Drosophila melanogaster: one gene and its partners. Changing the gene in region 2 together with the main gene of any one other region gives a genetic interaction. Each region holds a gene or a part of one and is shown on either strand. Other genes may lie near its edges.

The links.
Region 1: of Uba1 (region 2) and Debcl, changing one suppresses a phenotype caused by changing the other (phenotypic suppression), as found in Drosophila melanogaster (one study listed by BioGRID).
Region 3: of Uba1 (region 2) and Dcp-1, changing one enhances a phenotype caused by changing the other (phenotypic enhancement), as found in Drosophila melanogaster (one study listed by BioGRID).

The regions. Positions count from the first base shown.
Region 1 is NT_033778.4:6,647,111-6,653,387, reverse strand, and holds Debcl (death executioner Bcl-2), read right to left. Parts: upstream 4,735-6,277; 5' UTR 4,110-4,734; coding exon 3,810-4,109; intron 1,400-3,809; coding exon 1,256-1,399; intron 1,201-1,255; coding exon 742-1,200; 3' UTR 546-741; downstream 1-545. Other genes in the region: Opbp (Optix-binding protein), read right to left, coding at 1-15, 67-73.
Region 2 is NT_033778.4:9,687,764-9,695,018, reverse strand, and holds Uba1 (ubiquitin activating enzyme 1), read left to right. Parts: upstream 1-1,690; 5' UTR 1,691-1,978; coding exon 1,979-2,737; intron 2,738-3,315; coding exon 3,316-5,037; intron 5,038-5,099; coding exon 5,100-5,408; intron 5,409-5,465; coding exon 5,466-6,251; 3' UTR 6,252-6,730; downstream 6,731-7,255.
Region 3 is NT_033778.4:23,549,419-23,554,092, reverse strand, and holds Dcp-1 (death caspase-1), read right to left. Parts: upstream 2,781-4,674; 5' UTR 2,371-2,780; coding exon 2,219-2,370; intron 1,793-2,218; coding exon 1,230-1,792; intron 1,170-1,229; coding exon 913-1,169; 3' UTR 546-912; downstream 1-545. Other genes in the region: pita, read left to right, coding at 3,057-4,145, 4,202-4,674. UniProt on the Drosophila melanogaster protein: Involved in the activation cascade of caspases responsible for apoptosis execution. Proteolytically cleaves poly(ADP-ribose) polymerase (PARP). Loss of zygotic DCP-1 function causes larval lethality and melanotic tumors.

The DNA.
Region 1 (6,277 bases), 3.0 Mb from region 2:
CGGCCTGGTTGGACGCTGCAAGTGCATGTTACTCGACGTTCATACCCACGGAATCAGTGCACTTACATGACATGGCATAATTTGCTCCAATCTTTATTTACAACAAATAATAATGGGCAGATCCACAGCAATAATAACAAATGGTTTTTGGAAATCGAAGCGTTGCCACAGGGCTGGGTAAGTATTTGCGTTTTAGCTGGGTGGCAAGGCTAACAATCAAAATTTAAAATGTTAATAACATTTATTTTAAAGACTAGAACATTGAACCAGTAATTACAAAATTATAAAAACTTTTGTCAGCAAAGTTAACTTTTATATTTTTTGTTTAACTGAGAGATTATGTTAGTCGATTCGTCTTTAATTTCTGGTAACAGATACACTGTTCAACAGTCAAAGATTGGGCACTATAACATTTTAAAGACGAATTGTCGTACTCAAAATATTGGCACCTCCACGGCGTTTCCAGTGTTGCTAAACACGGACATAAAGTAATGCAGTTCCGTGCATAACACCCAGACTTCGCGCCAAATTCGAAAAAAAAGTTTACAACACACGCTTTATTGCGCCTAGAATAGCCTTGTATGTACAAAAAGAGGAGAAAGGGAATAACAATATTATACGTAAAACAGGGTCCGTTACATACTACTAAACGACTGGTGCCCATGGAAGCAGGAATGATTTGAAGCTCTCATTGACTAAATGGTACGATTGTATTTCTTAACGACGCGATCCCAAGCGAATCTAGAACAGCAGCGAATACAGTTGACCTCCAATGCGCCGACACACGTTTGAGACCATATATGCGCCTGCAGAGATAGTCACGAACAGCGTCAACCATCCCAAGAACGTAAATTCGCCGACCCGGGGTCGGATGTGCCGCGACAGGCCCAACCATCCGCCGTTGTCGATCAGCCAGTAGACCAGGTCGTCCTCTATGATCTCAGCCAGACCGTCAATCAGGCACTGTAGGTAGTCGAAATGTCCCTGGCGCACGCAGTCTATGGCAAAGCCGCCGCATACGGCAAATATCGAGATTATCTTGCCCCAGGTGATGCTGGAGCGAAAAAGATCCTTGGCAACTAGGTTGAGCAACATGGGCGCCATGTCGCTGTCCTCCAGCTCGCCAAACGGGGCCCTCGACAGCTGTCGCGATATGTTTGTGTACACCCGCGGGTGCATCCGCTCCAGTTCCTCGCCCATCTGTGGATTATACCATGTTATGAAAAGATTCAATGGCGAATGGCAGTACACTCACGCTGTTCAGTGCCGGGAAAACTTCATAGACCACGTGCGAGGAGCCGGGGTCCAGGATGTTGCGCAAACGCTGTGTCACCTTCCGGTTGAGGACTCCTGCCCGTCGCAGCCGCGCTCTGATGTACTGACCACACAGACATTTCCCCTGGAATAGAACGACAAAGCCAAAAGTTCAATCACAATCAAATTAACTACAGTGCTTTGATCATTGCCAGGCAATTTCGCTCCATCAGCGGGCCACTTAAACAATATCAATCGACTGCCTCGAGTTTTCCGGCGAACATGCATATGTTCTATTTACGTCGCTCTGAATCCGTTTACAGGATTCCGTAGACACCTGGGCTATTTCAATCACACCTCTTACAGAGTATCTAAACATGCAGCCAAACTGATGGCAGGTGCACATGGCGGTAATAAACTTTGAACAACGACTTAAACAAAAGAAGCGATCAGCACGTGCTGTGGAAAGGCATTAAGACAACTAAAAATTTACTTATGGAATCTGAAAGACGCGAAACGTTTGGCGTAATTAAGGCATTCCCCACCATGTTGCGTTCAATTCCGACCCATTTAGTTGCAAGTTTCCTTCGACAATTTATGTCGCACAATTACCGTTCGTCACGCCAACGATTCCGCAGCCAAGTAAACAGACAATTACTCACTTTGGAGCCAACTTGACTTATGACATGGCCAGCCAAAGAAATCAAGCCCATGCCAAATCACCGGCCTTGAAGCTAGTGTCTTGAAAAGTCTATCGAAGCTACTCCGAACCCGTCCAGCCTCCCAGCGAAATATTAATAAATCCGTCAATTTGTTTACGTGATCTTGTTATGGCGAACACTTGTGCGCCCAACTCTTTCCTTTTGGCGGGTTTGGTGCGACCAAATACCATAAGATTTACTTGAATGGCCAGAGTTCGATGAATTCATCACCTGAGGCTTTCGGGTTGTATAGTTAGTGGTCGGTTTATTTTTGGAATACTTGTTTATAATGGTTCCACCCGTGGCGCTTTCGCGGTTCTTCCCTTTTCTTTAGTTGCTATTATTTTCCTTGAAAACCTCTATGCAGCCTGGTTATGGCCCATTCCATCTGATTTGTCAGAGAAAATGGCGTTTACTTTAGAGGACTGCATTCTGAGAAAACTTCCGCAATGCGCTTAATGATAAATTCCTCAAGAAGTTATCAGCCCGGCGAAAGCAACCACATAGGCAAATATATTTAATAAACACTTTACATGTCGCTCACCTGGAGGAGCGGAGTAAATAGTTTTATCAGTCTCAGATAAACGAATGGTGGAAACAAAAATATTTGCCTTATCAATTAAGTTGAGACAGTCAAGACCCAAATGGTGGATAGCAGAGATTCGGATGGATCGTCCTCGATCAGAGCCATCGAAAATTAGTTGATACCGCAAACAGTTCTGCACATTAAATTGGAATCTGTTTGCAGTTGTCTGTTCCGTTTCATTTTGGCAATTTCGAAATTTGTCCACGAAATTAGGCAATTTGTTTGAACAGCTTTTTCTTTTAGTTTTGTGTTGTGTTTCTCATTTTGCGTACTTGCTGAATATTTAATCACCAAACTGTTGTATTTATATGTATGTCTCAAAAATCGGTTTTAATTATGTGCACATGTTCCGATGCATGACCAGTTTATTTTCTGACTCATTCTATGTTGATAACGTTAGATATTACTTAAAATAATTTAAAAAAAAAACATTGAGTGGCAACATAAGGCTGGAATAGAATAACTATAACAACTAATATATATAACTATTATCAAGGTTTTTAACTATTTTAACGCAAAACTATATATTTAAATGTGGGTTGAAACCGAGTCATGTTTAAAATAATTACACCTTAAAGTAAAGCACATGTCCTCAACCTCTTAAGAAATTTAAGTATTTGTGTTGATTAAACTTTTATATCACCAGGCGCATTGCTATGAACTATAAGAAGTCTTATTTATCGAAGAAGTATCTATTGTAAATTTCAACATTAAAACAATGCATATGAGCCCTGAAAACTTGTCAAAAGAATATAAATTATTTGTAACAAAGCCTTGACCGCTAAAGTTCATAATGCTTTTAAAACCACTTGCAAATTTAATTTGTATTATCTTGGCTTAGTTTTTCTAATTTTCCAACCGAAATGACTGTAATTGTATAATTTTAGAGAATTCTGGCCTATAAGGAAGACATCTGCTTGGTCTGGACCACATACATACATACATAGCTGCCTCTATGTGTACGAATTGGTCTTATATTTAAGAATACCCATCGGAATTCTAGAATTCTGCAAAAGATTAAAGCTAATCCAAGGCATTCAATAGTTCCTTGCTGAAACACTCACTTTGCTGGTGAATATCTCCCTATTTAACTTCCTTGCAATTCCATTGGCTGAGTAACACTCGTAAATTTTTTTGAACATATGCTGAATCAGACGCTTACTTTATAAGGCAACAGTCCCAGCATACTCTCAAGACTTCAACTAAATAATTCCCAAATTGTCCATAGCAAAGGACGGAGCCACTGGTCACCCATTTCTGGTCCTCACCTGGTTGATGATATCCATTTTGTACTCCTGGTAGTTAGTCATCGTGCGCGTACTGCTAGCCAGCGAGGATGTGGAGGCGGCCCGTGTCATGGGTCCGCCGGCGTGAAGGGAGCGTCCGTTAGAGGGATTGGGTACGCTACCGGGTCCTCCTGCTCCTCCACCGACGCCTCCGCGGAGCGCCTTCCAGTCGCTGGAGGCCGTGGCAATGGTGCCGCGGCGATTGGCCGTGTAGATCTCGTGGTCCAGCGACGAGGACTTGAACTTGGCCAGCTTGGGTGGCGGACTGGTGGTGGGAGCCATGGTCGAAGTCGAGGGCAGGGCAATGCTTGGCTGCCCGCTATTGTTGCTGCTGAGGCCTTTGTTGGCGCTGCCCCATGTGGGTTGTGTAATTCCGAAAGCCCAGCCCCGCGACTTTGCATGCACTATGCACTCGGAGCGGAGCGGATCGGATTGGATTGGATGGGATCGGGTGTGAGCGGTGGGGAGCGGTGGGCAGCGCACGAAAGGGGAGCGGAGTGGATCAGCTCACCTCGACGCAGCTGAGGCTCAGCTCGTCTTGGGCTTTTTTGGAGGTGCTCCGATTCTGATAAAATGGGCAAAACAAAATAAAAGTCGGCGACGAATGTGGCGAGCAAAGCGCAGGGCAGCAAACACGAACGAAACGCACAAAGAAGAGCCACTAAAACTTGTTGCTGGTGCCGCGATCCCAGTTTTATTTCACTTCATTTTTTTTTCAGCCGCTCAGAGCTTGCTTTCTTTTTCGCCGCGTTTAACCGAGAGCTTAGTATTCTGAATTTCAACGGGCAGTGGGGAGAGGGAATCGGCCTACCACCCTCTCCGTTCTATCTTCGATTCCCCACTTTCACGGTTACGGTTCCACGGGTTCCACGGTTCTCCGATCAGCGATCTAGGTTCTTTCGAGTTCCCGTTCTCGTTCTCGCGAGCGGCGCTTGTGATTGTGCGTTCGTTGTAGAGGTGGAGAAACATCGATGTTTTTGAAAAATCATAAACATCGATGTTTTTCGAGAAAACATCGATGTTTTTCCATCTCTACTGCGCATCGGAGAAGAAAAGTGTATGAATTGTAAGTACAAATTAATTTTCCATATTTTCTAATGCAATTATTAAAAGCATAACATAGCACATGGATTAATATCTGAAATGTTAGTTTTGAACTCCCGATTTGTGCACTTGCAGTTGCTCGTATGCATACTGGTTTACTTTTCCATTTAATTGTATTAATTTGTTTTATAGGAGCAACTATTGGACCAGCGGCTGATGAAAACGGAGACGACAATAAGTTTGTTTTTCTTTTCTTAAAGTACTGCCTTTTTATTTAAGCAATATTAAAAAATAATCATTAAATTAAGCAGGTAAATTTTGTTGTTTTTATTTTAAACATCGATGTTTTTCGCCAAAAACATTGGAAGCTTTGATGCCCGCCAACATCAATATTTCTCCACCTCTAGATTGTGCATTCGTTGTGTTTTCGCGACTGGCGAGCCGCGGCTCGCTGGGAACCGGTTCGCGGTAACGGTTTCGAAATAACGGCTTCGCTCTCGAAACCGAATACCGATTGCTTTGATATAATTGTAAAATGGAAACCAAATTTTTTTCACCAACGATGTATTACTCTGACAACCATTTGATTAACTTCTCAAGATATATTATACTTACTTTCGGATCTAAAACTGTTATGGAACCAGAAAGCTATTGCCGCCAATTTCAAAACTGTAAGGGAGCGATCTCCAAACTGCTAAATGTGATGTTCAAAAACTTAAATATTTTATCACTAAACGATAAATGTCCGTAGGCTTCGATCTATGATCTCAGATAAGAGATGCAGGCATCGGTCGCCCCTTTTGGAGGTGATATTACTCGAGGAGGACTTTCGTTTCGTTGGATCAATAAACTAAATAATTCAATAAAATGGAAAAAATACCGACTTGTTTCAAAAATGTAGTTGTAACAGTTTTGTGCATTAGCGATTGCATAGCAACGTTCTCAAACAATCTTCCACAGTCGTGTGTAGAATCTGCTTGCCAGATTGACATGGCCAGACCGACTCGGTTAGTTATCCTTTTTTATGATGAGTAACGTGTGTAATTAAATATTCTTTATAATGTTAGTTTGCTGAACTATCCCCACATTTAGGATTAATCCCACCTTGAATTGCTTACGCGTTCGTAACAAAAAGATAATTTTTTTGATAAAAATAACGCTGATACGCGAATTTTTGCAGTGTATCGGACTAGGACGATAAAGGTGTCGTTCTCGTTTTTTAAGCTTATGTAAGATTTTTTAAATGAATCTAACCGAACTATTGAATCAGATCAATCTAAGAAGCATCGTTCCGCCGGTTCCAAATCCGAATACCGACTATTTTGATAATTACCAATGTCGTATTACTTTATCACCCATTTTATTAACTTCTCAAGATATTTACATATTATACTTTCTTTCAGATC
Region 2 (7,255 bases):
TTTCTAAAACGGGAGCAGCATTTCGCGCAGCTGTAGGCGTAAATTAAAATGCATTTTACGCAACTGTGCGACAAGATCCGGGCTTTAGATCCTGCAGCTGTTGCCCCTCGTACTGCATTTTCCTAATGGCACGCTCTCAACACTTGAAAAGGACACACCCCCGCCGCTCGGAAAACTGGTATAGGATAGCTCTCTGTTTTTCGTGGAAATTTACGCATTTTCATGCTCGACTACCGTTGCACAGAACAGAAAGGGAACCCCGACCGAAAATAGATTAGCCGCTCTCAAAGGATATTGAACCCGGCCAGGACCAAGCGACACCGAAGGACTTCGCCGTGGGTCAGTTGGTGTTGGTTTGTGGGACAACTGCCGAGGGGCGCGTGCCACGATCGGGGTTTTTGGGCCAGGATAATTGCCTCAAGTGCCGACAGATTGATGACCAGCAAACTCATTGAAGTATATATTTCAATTTCGAGCTAATGGCTTAGAAGTTGATGAAATCGGAGAGTAAAGAATTATTAAATTTAAGTTTTTTGAACACACATCTATTAAGAGGTTGTTCTACGTTTGAAATATGTATTTGCTAAATTAACTTTCAATCGATATTATGTCACTCACAAAAACGAATATTCCAATATATTTTATTTATTCAAAATATTGTGAATATTGCTTTATTTATAGAAGAAGGGAACACAATTTTTGAATTGTTTAGAAAAATAAGAACGATCTATTAAATGGCATAATTCAAAAATATCAAGTTTAAGCCATATACATGTATAAGTTACTTTTAAGTTTGACCAGTACAAAGTATATAGGAATTTATAATGGGGAAGCCAAGCTATATTATAATGAATAATTATTATTATTATAATGAATAATATCAAGATATCAGGGTTGTGCTTGCACCACAATTATGAAAAATAAAGTAATGACCCAGAAGTCTGTTATCATCTATTTATAAGCAGTTTGAAACAAATTAAAACCCACTTTAAATTTTATCAAATAAATATATTACCAATATACATTTAAATTTCGAACATTACATAGCAAAAAAATGTCAATTGAAATCAACAAATTTTTGAAAATGCGAGCCATATTTTCATTAAACGAGCTTGTATTTTTTGAACCCGAACCGTTTTTTTTTTCAAGTTTAAAAAGAATTAACTAACTCTAACAAAATCTAATATTTCAGTCGGTGTAGTAAAAACATAAACATAAACGATTTCAAATGTATCCTGAATACGCGGTAAACTTGTGTTTACCAACACCGCCTCTTAGACTATTCAGGCCTGCCAGATCTCCAAAAAAATATTATTTAGATAAGTTAGTGACACAAAAGGTTTAAGTCTTAACTGCGCTTAGCTGGGCTTTAAACCCACTGCCTATTCTTTGCTAATTGGAGTATTGCAAATCAGTTTTGAATCTGATTTATTTGTCCCGCTTACCAATTTTAATTGTGTAAATTCATTTGGTTTTACTTGGCCAACTTACAAATAATAGAATAATAAAAATGAAAGCCGTCTGTTTAATTATTAAAATAATGTGAATTAATTGGATTATTAATCTGGGCGTTATTATATAGAAAAGAAACCTAACTAACCAATTGCGGAAATATCGATAGCATCGCAATAAAATCTATATTGTGCCACCTCCAATTCACACAGGTCGGTCACACTGGGCAGGCTTGCCAATTTCAAGAGCCGCGGCCACACTACTGCGAATTCTATACTGCAACTCGATCGTGCGTGTTCTGTATTTTTGGGAGTGCGTTGTTAGAAATTCGGCCACAAATAGAATCCGCTGTCCTGGAACGAGTCAGAAACCACGGGAAATTGACTTCCGGACTAAATAGCGTTCTTGTGTGTCCATCCGTGTGCGTGTGTCCGCATTCTGCAGTGTGCGTGTGTGCGAAAGAGAGAGGGCGAGCGGTGCAGCCGCAACTGGGAAATTCGATTGCCAATATTTCAGCAAGGAAGCTATGTCGAGCGGTCAGCAATTGATGGCCGATTCGCCAGCCTGCAGCTCAAGTGACCATTCGCCGCTGGCCAAAAAAAGGCGTTTAGAGTTGTTGGGTGACGGAGTGGGGGCAATGGGAATGGAAGAGGAAGAAGCCGGCGGAGCAACGAGCAGCAGTAGCAGCAACAACTACGAAAATCACGACAAAGCAGGCGGCGTTGACATTTCGGGCAAGTGCCAGAGCAAGACGACTAGCGAGCACCAGCTGGAATTGTGCGTATCGTCGTCTACCTCTGACACATGCGGCGTTAATGCTGCGGCGAAGCGAGCCGAAAAGCAGAAACTGAAACAGAGCCAAGGAAGCGGCGACGACGTTAGTACCTCGTCAGCAGTGGAAAAGGAAGGAAGCAAGCGGCCGGAGAAGCGCAATTACCTGAACACCACCACAATAGAATCGCAAGAAGCCTCCTCCAGTGCATCCGCCACTAGCAACAGCAACAACAACGTCAGCTCCAGCAACAATAACAGTAATAACAGCACTAATAACCGACAACTGGAAGGAAGCAGCAACATGGCTGGAAACAGTGCCGCCGCCGGCGGAGATATCGATGAATCGCTGTACTCGCGCCAATTGTACGTCCTGGGTCACGATGCGATGCGTCGGATGGCCAATTCGGATATCCTTCTGTCGGGACTTGGAGGACTCGGCCTGGAGATAGCCAAGAATGTGATTCTGGGCGGCGTGAAATCGATCACCTTGCATGACACAGCAACTTGTGGGGTATGTGTGTGGGGCGAAGAAAAAATCGATAATTTTCCAGGCGGACGCGGGAAATGCCCGGAAAGGCTGACTTGGCATCCCTGGTCTTAGTGAATCATTCAGTTTTTATTTGATTTATTTATCATAGACTTCGCGCGAAATAAGGTTAGGTTAACATCTCTATTTGCTTGCAAAAAATTCGTTTTGTGTGTGTAATTCGGTTTTCCTTCTTTTTCTATTTGCCTCAAAATGTCTGCGCCATGCGAAAAGTGTGTGAGCGGGACAACCGTATGCGCATCGCTCGCTGCCGTTGTGTTTGCATTCCCCTTTGCTCAACGCATTCGGTTTTGTTTTATGCACTGAAAGATTCAACTTAAGATCTATGAGTTTCTCATAAACCGTAATATATCAATTATTTAGTTAATAGCCTTTCAATTTAAAGTTTTCTTGTATCATAAAAACTTTTTTGTTCTAATGACAAATATGTCTTTGCTGTACACTCGGCACAGAACCAATTTTCCTTTGTTAGTCATGGCTCCCGTCTGCTAATTTCATCACCGTTGATATATAATATTAATGATTATTCGTTTGTCTTGCAGCTCCATGACTTGTCGTCGCAATTCTATCTCACGGAAGCCGATATCGGCAAGAATCGTGCGGAGGCCTCTTGCGCCCAGTTGGCCGAGTTAAACAACTATGTGCGCACCGTTTCGCACACGGGGCCGCTTACCGAGGAGTTCCTGCGCAAGTTTCGCGTTGTGGTACTGACCAACTCCGACGGGGAGGAGCAGCAGAGGATCGCCAAGTTTGCCCATGAAAATGGCATTGCTCTGATCATCGCCGAGACGCGCGGACTGTTCGCCAAGGTGTTCTGTGACTTTGGCGAGAGCTTTACCATTTACGATCAGGATGGCACACAGCCGATCTCCACCATGATAGCTAGTATCACGCACGACGCACAGGGAGTCGTCACCTGCCTGGACGAGACGCGCCATGGTTTTAATGACGGTGACTACGTCACCTTCTCGGAGGTGCAGGGCATGCAGGAACTGAACGGTTGTCAGCCCCTTAAGATCACAGTGCTGGGACCCTACACATTTAGCATCGGTGATACCAGCAAGTTTGGAGAATATAAGAGCGGAGGAGTGGCCACCCAGGTGAAGATGCCCAAGACCATCAGCTTCAAGCCCCTGGCACAGGCCACTGAGGAGCCGGAGTTTTTGATCTCCGATTTCGCAAAGCTGGACTCGCCGGCCACGCTGCACGTGGCCTTCAATGCCCTCTCCTGCTACCGCAAGGCCCATAATGGAGCCTTACCGCGTCCCTGGAACGAGGAGGACGCCAACAGCTTCCTCGAGGTAGTCCGAGCCAGCAGCAACGCGGAAGTCGACGAAAAACTGGTGCTGCAATTCGCCAAAATCTGCTCGGGTAATACGTGCCCGCTGGACGCGGCCGTTGGTGGAATTGTGGCCCAGGAGGTGCTTAAGGCCTGCAGTGGAAAGTTTACACCCATCTACCAGTGGTTGTACTTTGACGCCCTGGAGTGTCTGCCCACAGAGGGTGTCGAGGAGGCGGATGCCCAGCCGGTGGGCTCGCGCTATGATTCTCAGATTGCCATATTTGGCAAGAAGTTCCAGGAGAAGTTGGCTGACTCGAAATGGTTTATTGTCGGCGCCGGAGCCATTGGTTGTGAGCTATTGAAAAACTTTGGAATGCTGGGCCTGGGAACTGGCAATGGCCAGATTTTCGTCACAGACATGGATCTCATTGAGAAGTCGAATCTGAACCGGCAGTTCCTGTTCCGCCCGCATGATGTGCAGAAGCCTAAATCAATGACGGCCGCCGACGCTATCAAACGGATGAATCCGGAAGTGAATGTCACCGCATACGAGTTGCGCGTTGGCGCCGAAACAGAGAAAGTCTTTTCCGAAGATTTCTTTGGAAAGTTGGATGGTGTAGCCAATGCGCTGGACAACGTGGATGCTCGCATATATATGGATCGCAAATGCATCTTCAACCGCATTCCGCTCGTCGAGACCGGAACTCTGGGAACTTTGGGCAACGTTCAGGTGATTGTGCCCTTTGCCACCGAATCTTATAGCTCCTCCCAGGATCCCCCAGAAAAGAGTATTCCCATCTGCACGCTGAAGAACTTCCCCAATGCCATCGAGCACACTCTGCAGTGGGCGCGTGACGCCTTTGAGGGCGTCTTCAAGCAGTCTGCAGAAAATGCTGCTCAGTACATCGCCGATCCTCAGTTCACCGAGCGAATCGCCAAGCTGCCTGGTATTCAGCCTCTGGAGATCCTCGATTCCATCAAGGTAAGGATAGAATTTACTTCTTTGCCTAATATGTTGTACTTAATGGTAATTTATTTTTACAGAAAGCTCTGATCGACGACAAACCCAAGAGTTTCGCGCACTGCGTGGAGTGGGCCCGTCTTTATTGGGAGGATCAATATGTTAACCAGATTAAGCAGTTGCTCTTTAACTTCCCACCTGATCAGATCACCTCCAGTGGTCAGCCGTTTTGGTCTGGTCCCAAGCGGTGCCCCGATCCCCTGGTCTTTGATGTCAACGATCCCATGCACCTCGACTTTATCTACGCAGCCGCCAATCTTCGAGCTGAGGTCTATGGCATTGAGCAGGTTCGCAATCGCGAGACGATCGCAGAGCTGGTACAGAAGGTTAAGGTTAGTTGTTCGAGATTAATACCGTCGGGGACCATTTCTGATATTATTGATTTATAGGTGCCCGAGTTTAAACCCCGTTCGGGCGTGAAAATAGAAACCAATGAGGCAGCAGCCGCCGCCTCGGCCAATAACTTCGATGACGGCGAGTTGGACCAGGATCGCGTTGACAAGATCATTTCAGAGCTGCTAAAGAACGCCGACAAAAGCTCCAAGATCACGCCACTTGAGTTTGAAAAGGACGACGACAGTAACTTGCACATGGACTTCATTGTGGCCTGCTCAAATCTACGCGCCGCCAACTACAAGATTCCGCCAGCGGATCGCCACAAGTCCAAGTTGATTGCTGGCAAAATCATACCTGCTATTGCCACCACCACGTCGGTGCTCTCTGGATTGGCTGTGCTCGAGGTGATTAAGCTGATCGTCGGCCACCGGGATCTCGTAAAATTCAAGAACGGCTTCGCCAACTTGGCATTGCCGTTCATGGCCTTCTCTGAGCCGCTTCCTGCCGCCAAGAACACATACTACGGCAAGGAGTGGACGCTGTGGGACCGTTTTGAGGTGACCGGGGAGCTGTCGCTGCAGGAATTCCTCAACTATTTCGAGGAGAATGAGAAGCTTAAGATCACCATGCTCTCGCAGGGCGTGTCCATGCTGTACTCGTTCTTCATGCCCAAGGCCAAGTGCTCTGAGAGACTGCCGTTGCCGATGTCGGAGGTCGTGCGTCGCGTGTCCAAGCGTCGCCTGGAGCCACACGAGCGATCCCTGGTTTTCGAGATCTGCTGCAACGATGTGGATGGCGAGGATGTGGAGGTGCCCTACGTCCGTTACACGCTGCCCTAAGCCCGTCTATATTCCTAATTTAACCATTAAATTATTTTACGATCCCGTTTTGTTGTCGGCGACGCGTTTTGGAATCGCGCAGCTCCAACGAAGGAGTTACTGTCTAGCTGTTTGCATTTTAATTTTCACAACACCATTACGAGAGCAGCCCAGATCTAGAAATTATATAAAATGTGTGTGAATCCTCTAAGGAATGGCAAAATAATACGCATCATACGAAATACAAAGACTCGACTAAAAGCAACACTTAAAATGCATCTGATGAAACTCTCTGCTCAGCATAGTTGTAAAGGTAACGAATTACGAAAAACCGAAGGCGGATTTTAATCGCATTGATTAATTGGAAATTGAAAACTGAATGAGCCAGGCGGAAAATTTCTCTTCACTCATATATTTTTTTTATATGGAAGCATAAACTAATTACGTCATTGTATTAAAAGGAGTAAAGCAAATGAATAAAGCTGTATATTTCATATGGTAATCGACCTGCTAGACGACTCAGATAATTTCGTTCAGCACTTGACGTCTGGTAATCTCATTTCCCCCGCCACTTCGGAAATTAAAATTGTAATGCATACTGCTCTGCCAGTGAAGTATATAGGGGATGCCATCTATCCGTACGCCAGTCAGTTTCAGAAAGTTACGTGACACAATTAAATATTTTATGCCCTCTCAAGACGTTTATACCACCCCCGCCCCGCACCCAAGGAGGCTGCTGCCACCAAAGTGCAATTGGCAAGTGCCGTAAAGTTGCACCGCTCATGGAAAGCGTTGGGCGGAGTGGCGGCGTCCTCTTATAATTAAATATTACACGCAATGCAACTGAAGTATGGCCAAAGTTATGCAGTTTCGCATCTCACTCTTGGCCTTTTGCGGCTTTTTGGCAAACTTGCTTGAATTATGCAGTTAATGAAAACAAAGCGAGGCGAGGAAAGTGGCTGCGCCGATCAGCTTTGTATCCGTCGAATAAGTGTGTTCTGGGCAGGGTAATCAAAGTTTTGGGT
Region 3 (4,674 bases), about 14 Mb from region 2:
AAAGTGCGACCAGGTTACAGCCCAATTAGTTGGCTAATCATTGGGCTTTCCCTTTTTCCTCTTGTGCAAAGAAAAATGAAAATTTCTGCGATTTGGGGCAACTGTACTGCGCCACACGCACACTAGTGCGTCAACAGCTGATCGCCCTGACAGCTGTCAGTTGTTTTTGGCGCTAAATTCAAATCGAGATCATATTTAAATGCATTAATAGTTCCTTCGATACTTATATTTACGCAAAAATCATCATTTGGTTAATTTTATTAATTTCCTAAATTATAAAATTAGGAAATAAATATAAAATTTAGGAAATTAATAAAATTAGAGTGAGAAAAATCTTAATTAATCACTCTTAATAATGCTAATTTGAATTCCACTAAAGTTTCGTACAATTTCACTGATTCAGCCAACCAAGTCTTCATTGTTATCTTTTATTTCCCATATCAACGTACTCAATCTGGCCCAGACAGCTCCTGTCTTCAAACAAAGTTGCTTAGATCGAAATTACCCATCTACGTTCAATTGGGGAGATACCTTGCTATGTTTTTAATTCATTTTTATTCATATCAAATATAAATGTTTGCGTGTACATAAAAGTATGTATGTATGTATAAATCTTCATTGTATTATCTTATCTCAAATTTGTGGGTTTTCTATTGGCAAGGTCTCGCTTATGCATACGGAAGTCATCTAGTGGGTAAATGGGTAACGAATTTCGTCAATGATAAGGCCGAAATGGGCATGGGAAAGGCAGGGGAATGAATGAAAGGGAGTCGGGTGCTTCAATATCCATCGGGATAATCGCACGCGTCAGCTAAAACTAAACTTGAAGTGAATTGGAATCCAACGTGAATGATTGCGGGCGATGGTTGTACAACCTCTGTTGAAAGTTCTTCTTCGAAGGGAGATCTCTTCCTAGCCAGCCTTATTGCCGTTCGGCTTGTCGCCGAAGCGCAGTATGCGCGTCAGCATGGAGGTGAGGCACGGTATTTGCTTCTGGCGATCCATCATCGGTGTGGCGGGCACGTTCGACTCAAAGTCTAGGGCTACGCGCTGGTTAACGAATGTAAGCAGGGTGAGCAGGTCGTACTTTTTGCCATTGGCGTTCAGCTCGCGGATCAGCGATTGCATGTACCAGGAGCCATTGTTGATGTTGCGCCAGGAGAAGTAGCCTAACAGGACGAGATTGCTAGTGAAATTCACTAAAATAGTTACCTAATCATATTCCTTACCCGGAATGGTCGAGTAGGAGAAGAGAAAGTCGGCGTGTATGGGTATCTTGTAGCTCGTCGAGGACTCCCCGTCCGTCTCGGTAACGCCCTTCTCCAGAGTGATGCCTCCGTCCAAGCGATCGCCCTGGCAGGCTTGGATGAAGAACAGCTTCGGCTTGCCCGCCAGCGAGGGGCAGAAGGTGGCAGTGAAGTAGTGCCAGATGTTGTCCAGCTTGTACTGCGTATCCTTGGCGTACAGGTAGCCGTGCTCCCCGTGCGAGAGTATGGCCACCGCAAGGCAGTCGTTGTCCGTGTGGTCCAACTCGGCGGCCTTCCCCACGTGCTTCAGGATGTCCCTCAACTTGCAGTCCTTGTGCACGGACACCGCGAATCCCAGGTTTTCAAAGGCCTTTTTCAGCTCTTGGGCATCGACATTTGTTCCGGTGCGGCTCTTCAGCGAGGGTATGTCGAAGAATTCGTGGTTGAAGATCAGCGCAACTCCGCGGTGCTTGTGACTCATGTTGTATTCGCTTGCATATCGTTCCACGGGCATTCGAGCCACAAACTTGTTGGCCGGCAAGGGGCTGGGGAAAAAGAAATCAGAATTATAATAGCCATTTGGGAAGCAGCATGATAAGATAAGGTAATCGGCGAAATAATCGATGATTGGGTATTTATTTATGTAATTATTTTCAAATATATTTGTGAATAAGACTAAATAGAACAATAGAATTAAAGTCAAGTGCTTTCAAACTTTGTGACTTCAGCCATTTTAACAACATTATAAAGACAGATTGACACATTGATTTTAAATGTTGGCAATAGACAGTATAAATAATATAAAAATAATAGATTGTGGAATGAAAATGGAATAAATAAAAAAAAAAGAGCTTTATATGCTGCATTTGAAACTAGGATATAGCAGTTATGCCAGTACTTGCATTGATAACAAAACACAGAAACATAAAGAGAGAGATGGGAGAGGGAGAGAGCGAGGCACATGGACTCACCTCGCTGCAGTTGCACCACCAACAACAAGAGACTCCGGCGTACAGCCCTTGGCATCGGTATTATCAGCCATTATAAAGCTGCCCCGATTTTCCGATCCATTTGGGCTGCGAATGCCTACTCCGTAGTTTCTGGTTACGCACTCGTCGGTCATCTTGCGCCCCTTTTCTTGCTTAAGTTCTTGTTTTGATTGTTTGCGTTTCTCCTTGTGTTTCCTCTTGCCTTTTGTTCGCTCCCTCCTGCTCCTCCCTCGCTCACGCGCTGCTCTTTCCTTCCTTTTCTCTCTCCGCAGTTGTTGCGCCCTTTTTGGTCTGATTCTTGTTTTATTCTGACACTGCTTCTGTTTTCTATTGCTCTGCGTTGGCCAAACTTTGCGCAGCGCAGCTGTTTTGCGCTTCTCAGCCAGCTTTTGTCGGCTTTCGATCGAGCGAATGTCCTTTTATGGCTCACAGTCGGACGTGTTTAATCAATCAATTAACGGAGGTTAAGCGTGCTCTGAGCGGCGAAAACAAACTGCGATTGCATGTAGTCGTGTGTATGCACTTGCCGCCAAGCGGCGATGGCCGCTCGTCGATAGCACTAATCATCGATTGGTGGCCATCGATTAATTTGTAGAGGGTGTTCTGGTCCTCGGCGCCTTTGTTTAAATTTAAACTCTAACATTATATTGTTCATTTTAAGGGAAAGAGACATTTATGGCGTTTAATTTATTATGTAGCGAAAAACATATAGGGGTGTTCCACGAATATTACCTTATTATTTGGCTTAAGCACGGACTTCCCCGAATAAATGTAGCTTCCTAGTCACTCACACATTTATCTAATCTAACATTAAAAACAGGTCTACGCCGGCGACGGAATGCCGGGGCACATCTGTCTGGAGTGCCGCCTCCTCTTCGAGCACTGCTACCGCTTCAAGCAGATGTGCAAGCGGGCGGAGACCCTCCTGCGCCAGTATCCGCTCACGGGTAACTGGCCATCGCCGCTGGAGAAGCCCCGTGCGCCCATGACGATGGTGGCTTCCAAGAAGTTGTTGGTCGTGCCAGCAAAGACAGCCGAGCCAAGCGAAACGCCCAAAAAGCTGCTGAACACAATGGCCAAATCCAGTAGTCAGGTGATCATCGAGGACGTCCAGGTGCTGGAGAGCGCCATGGTGACCCCCAGGACGGTAGCCGGTTCCTCTCCAGTGCCACGTCGTTCGCACGCCTATGAGCTGAAGGTGGATAACAACCAGGAGCTGTCCATGGACGATGTGCAGAGCATGCTGGAGGATATGGCCAGTGAGCTAGAGAAGGAGTTCCCCGATATCCCCCAGAAGGCATCACCCGTCAAGCCGAAGGTGCTGAACAAGTCCTCGATTAGGATCTTGAACAAGGGACCCGCCGCTCCGGTGGAACCGCGCCTGGCCACACCCAAAGTCAAGCGAGATGATAGTGGCAATGTGGCCATAGTGACAGAGGTTCTGGACTCGGATCTGCCATTGGACGATCAAGATGATCCGACCAAGAACGCCGAGAAGGTGGCCACCGATGTGTTCCCCTGTCCCGATTGCGAACGCTCCTTTCCGCTGCAGCAGCTGCTCGAGATCCATCGGCTGAATCACACTCGCTCGCGCAGCTTCCAGTGTCTCCTGTGCGAGAAGAGCTTCTTCTCCAAGTACGACCTGGCCAAGCACAACTTTGTGCACACCGGCGAGCGGCCATTCAAGTGCGCCATCTGCTCGAAAGCCTTCACACGGAAGGCATTGCTCCATCGCCACGAGCGCACCCACACGGACGTACCCAAGTTCATCTGCGTGTACTGCGAGAAGCCCTTCCTTTCGCGCCAGGAGATGGAGAAGCACGCCGAGCGACATCAGAAGAAGCGTCCGTTCCAATGCGGTGTCTGCACCAAGTCGTTTGCCTTCAAGCAGGGATTGGAGCGTCATGAGGTGGGTTGACAAGCATATTTGGGATTGCCCCGGCTAACGATTATGTCCACTTTCAGACAGTCCACTCCACCAATCTTCCCTTCCCCTGTCAGCATTGCGAGAGAAGCTTTTCCACCGCTTCCAAGCTGGCCCGCCACCTGGTTGCCCACGCCGGGAAGAGAGCCTATCCCTGCAAGTACTGCCACAAGTCCTACATGCTGTCGCATCATCTCTCGCGCCACCTGCGCACGCACACGCAGACTTCCGACGCCTCGTTCGTGTGCAGTGAGTGCAAGGTGTCGTACAGCAACTATAACGACCTACTGGATCATGCGCTCATTCATGCCACCGCCAGCCTGAAATGTCCCATGTGTCGCAAGCAGATCGAAGATATCGACAGTGTCGAGAGCCACATGGACCAGCACAAGCAGAGCGAGCGCCATGCCTGCGAGTTCTGTGACCACATCTTCTTGACGCAGAAATGCCTGCAGCGCCACATCGAGGACGATCATGTGGTGGAAATGGAGCCGTACCAGAACGAGTTCGAAGA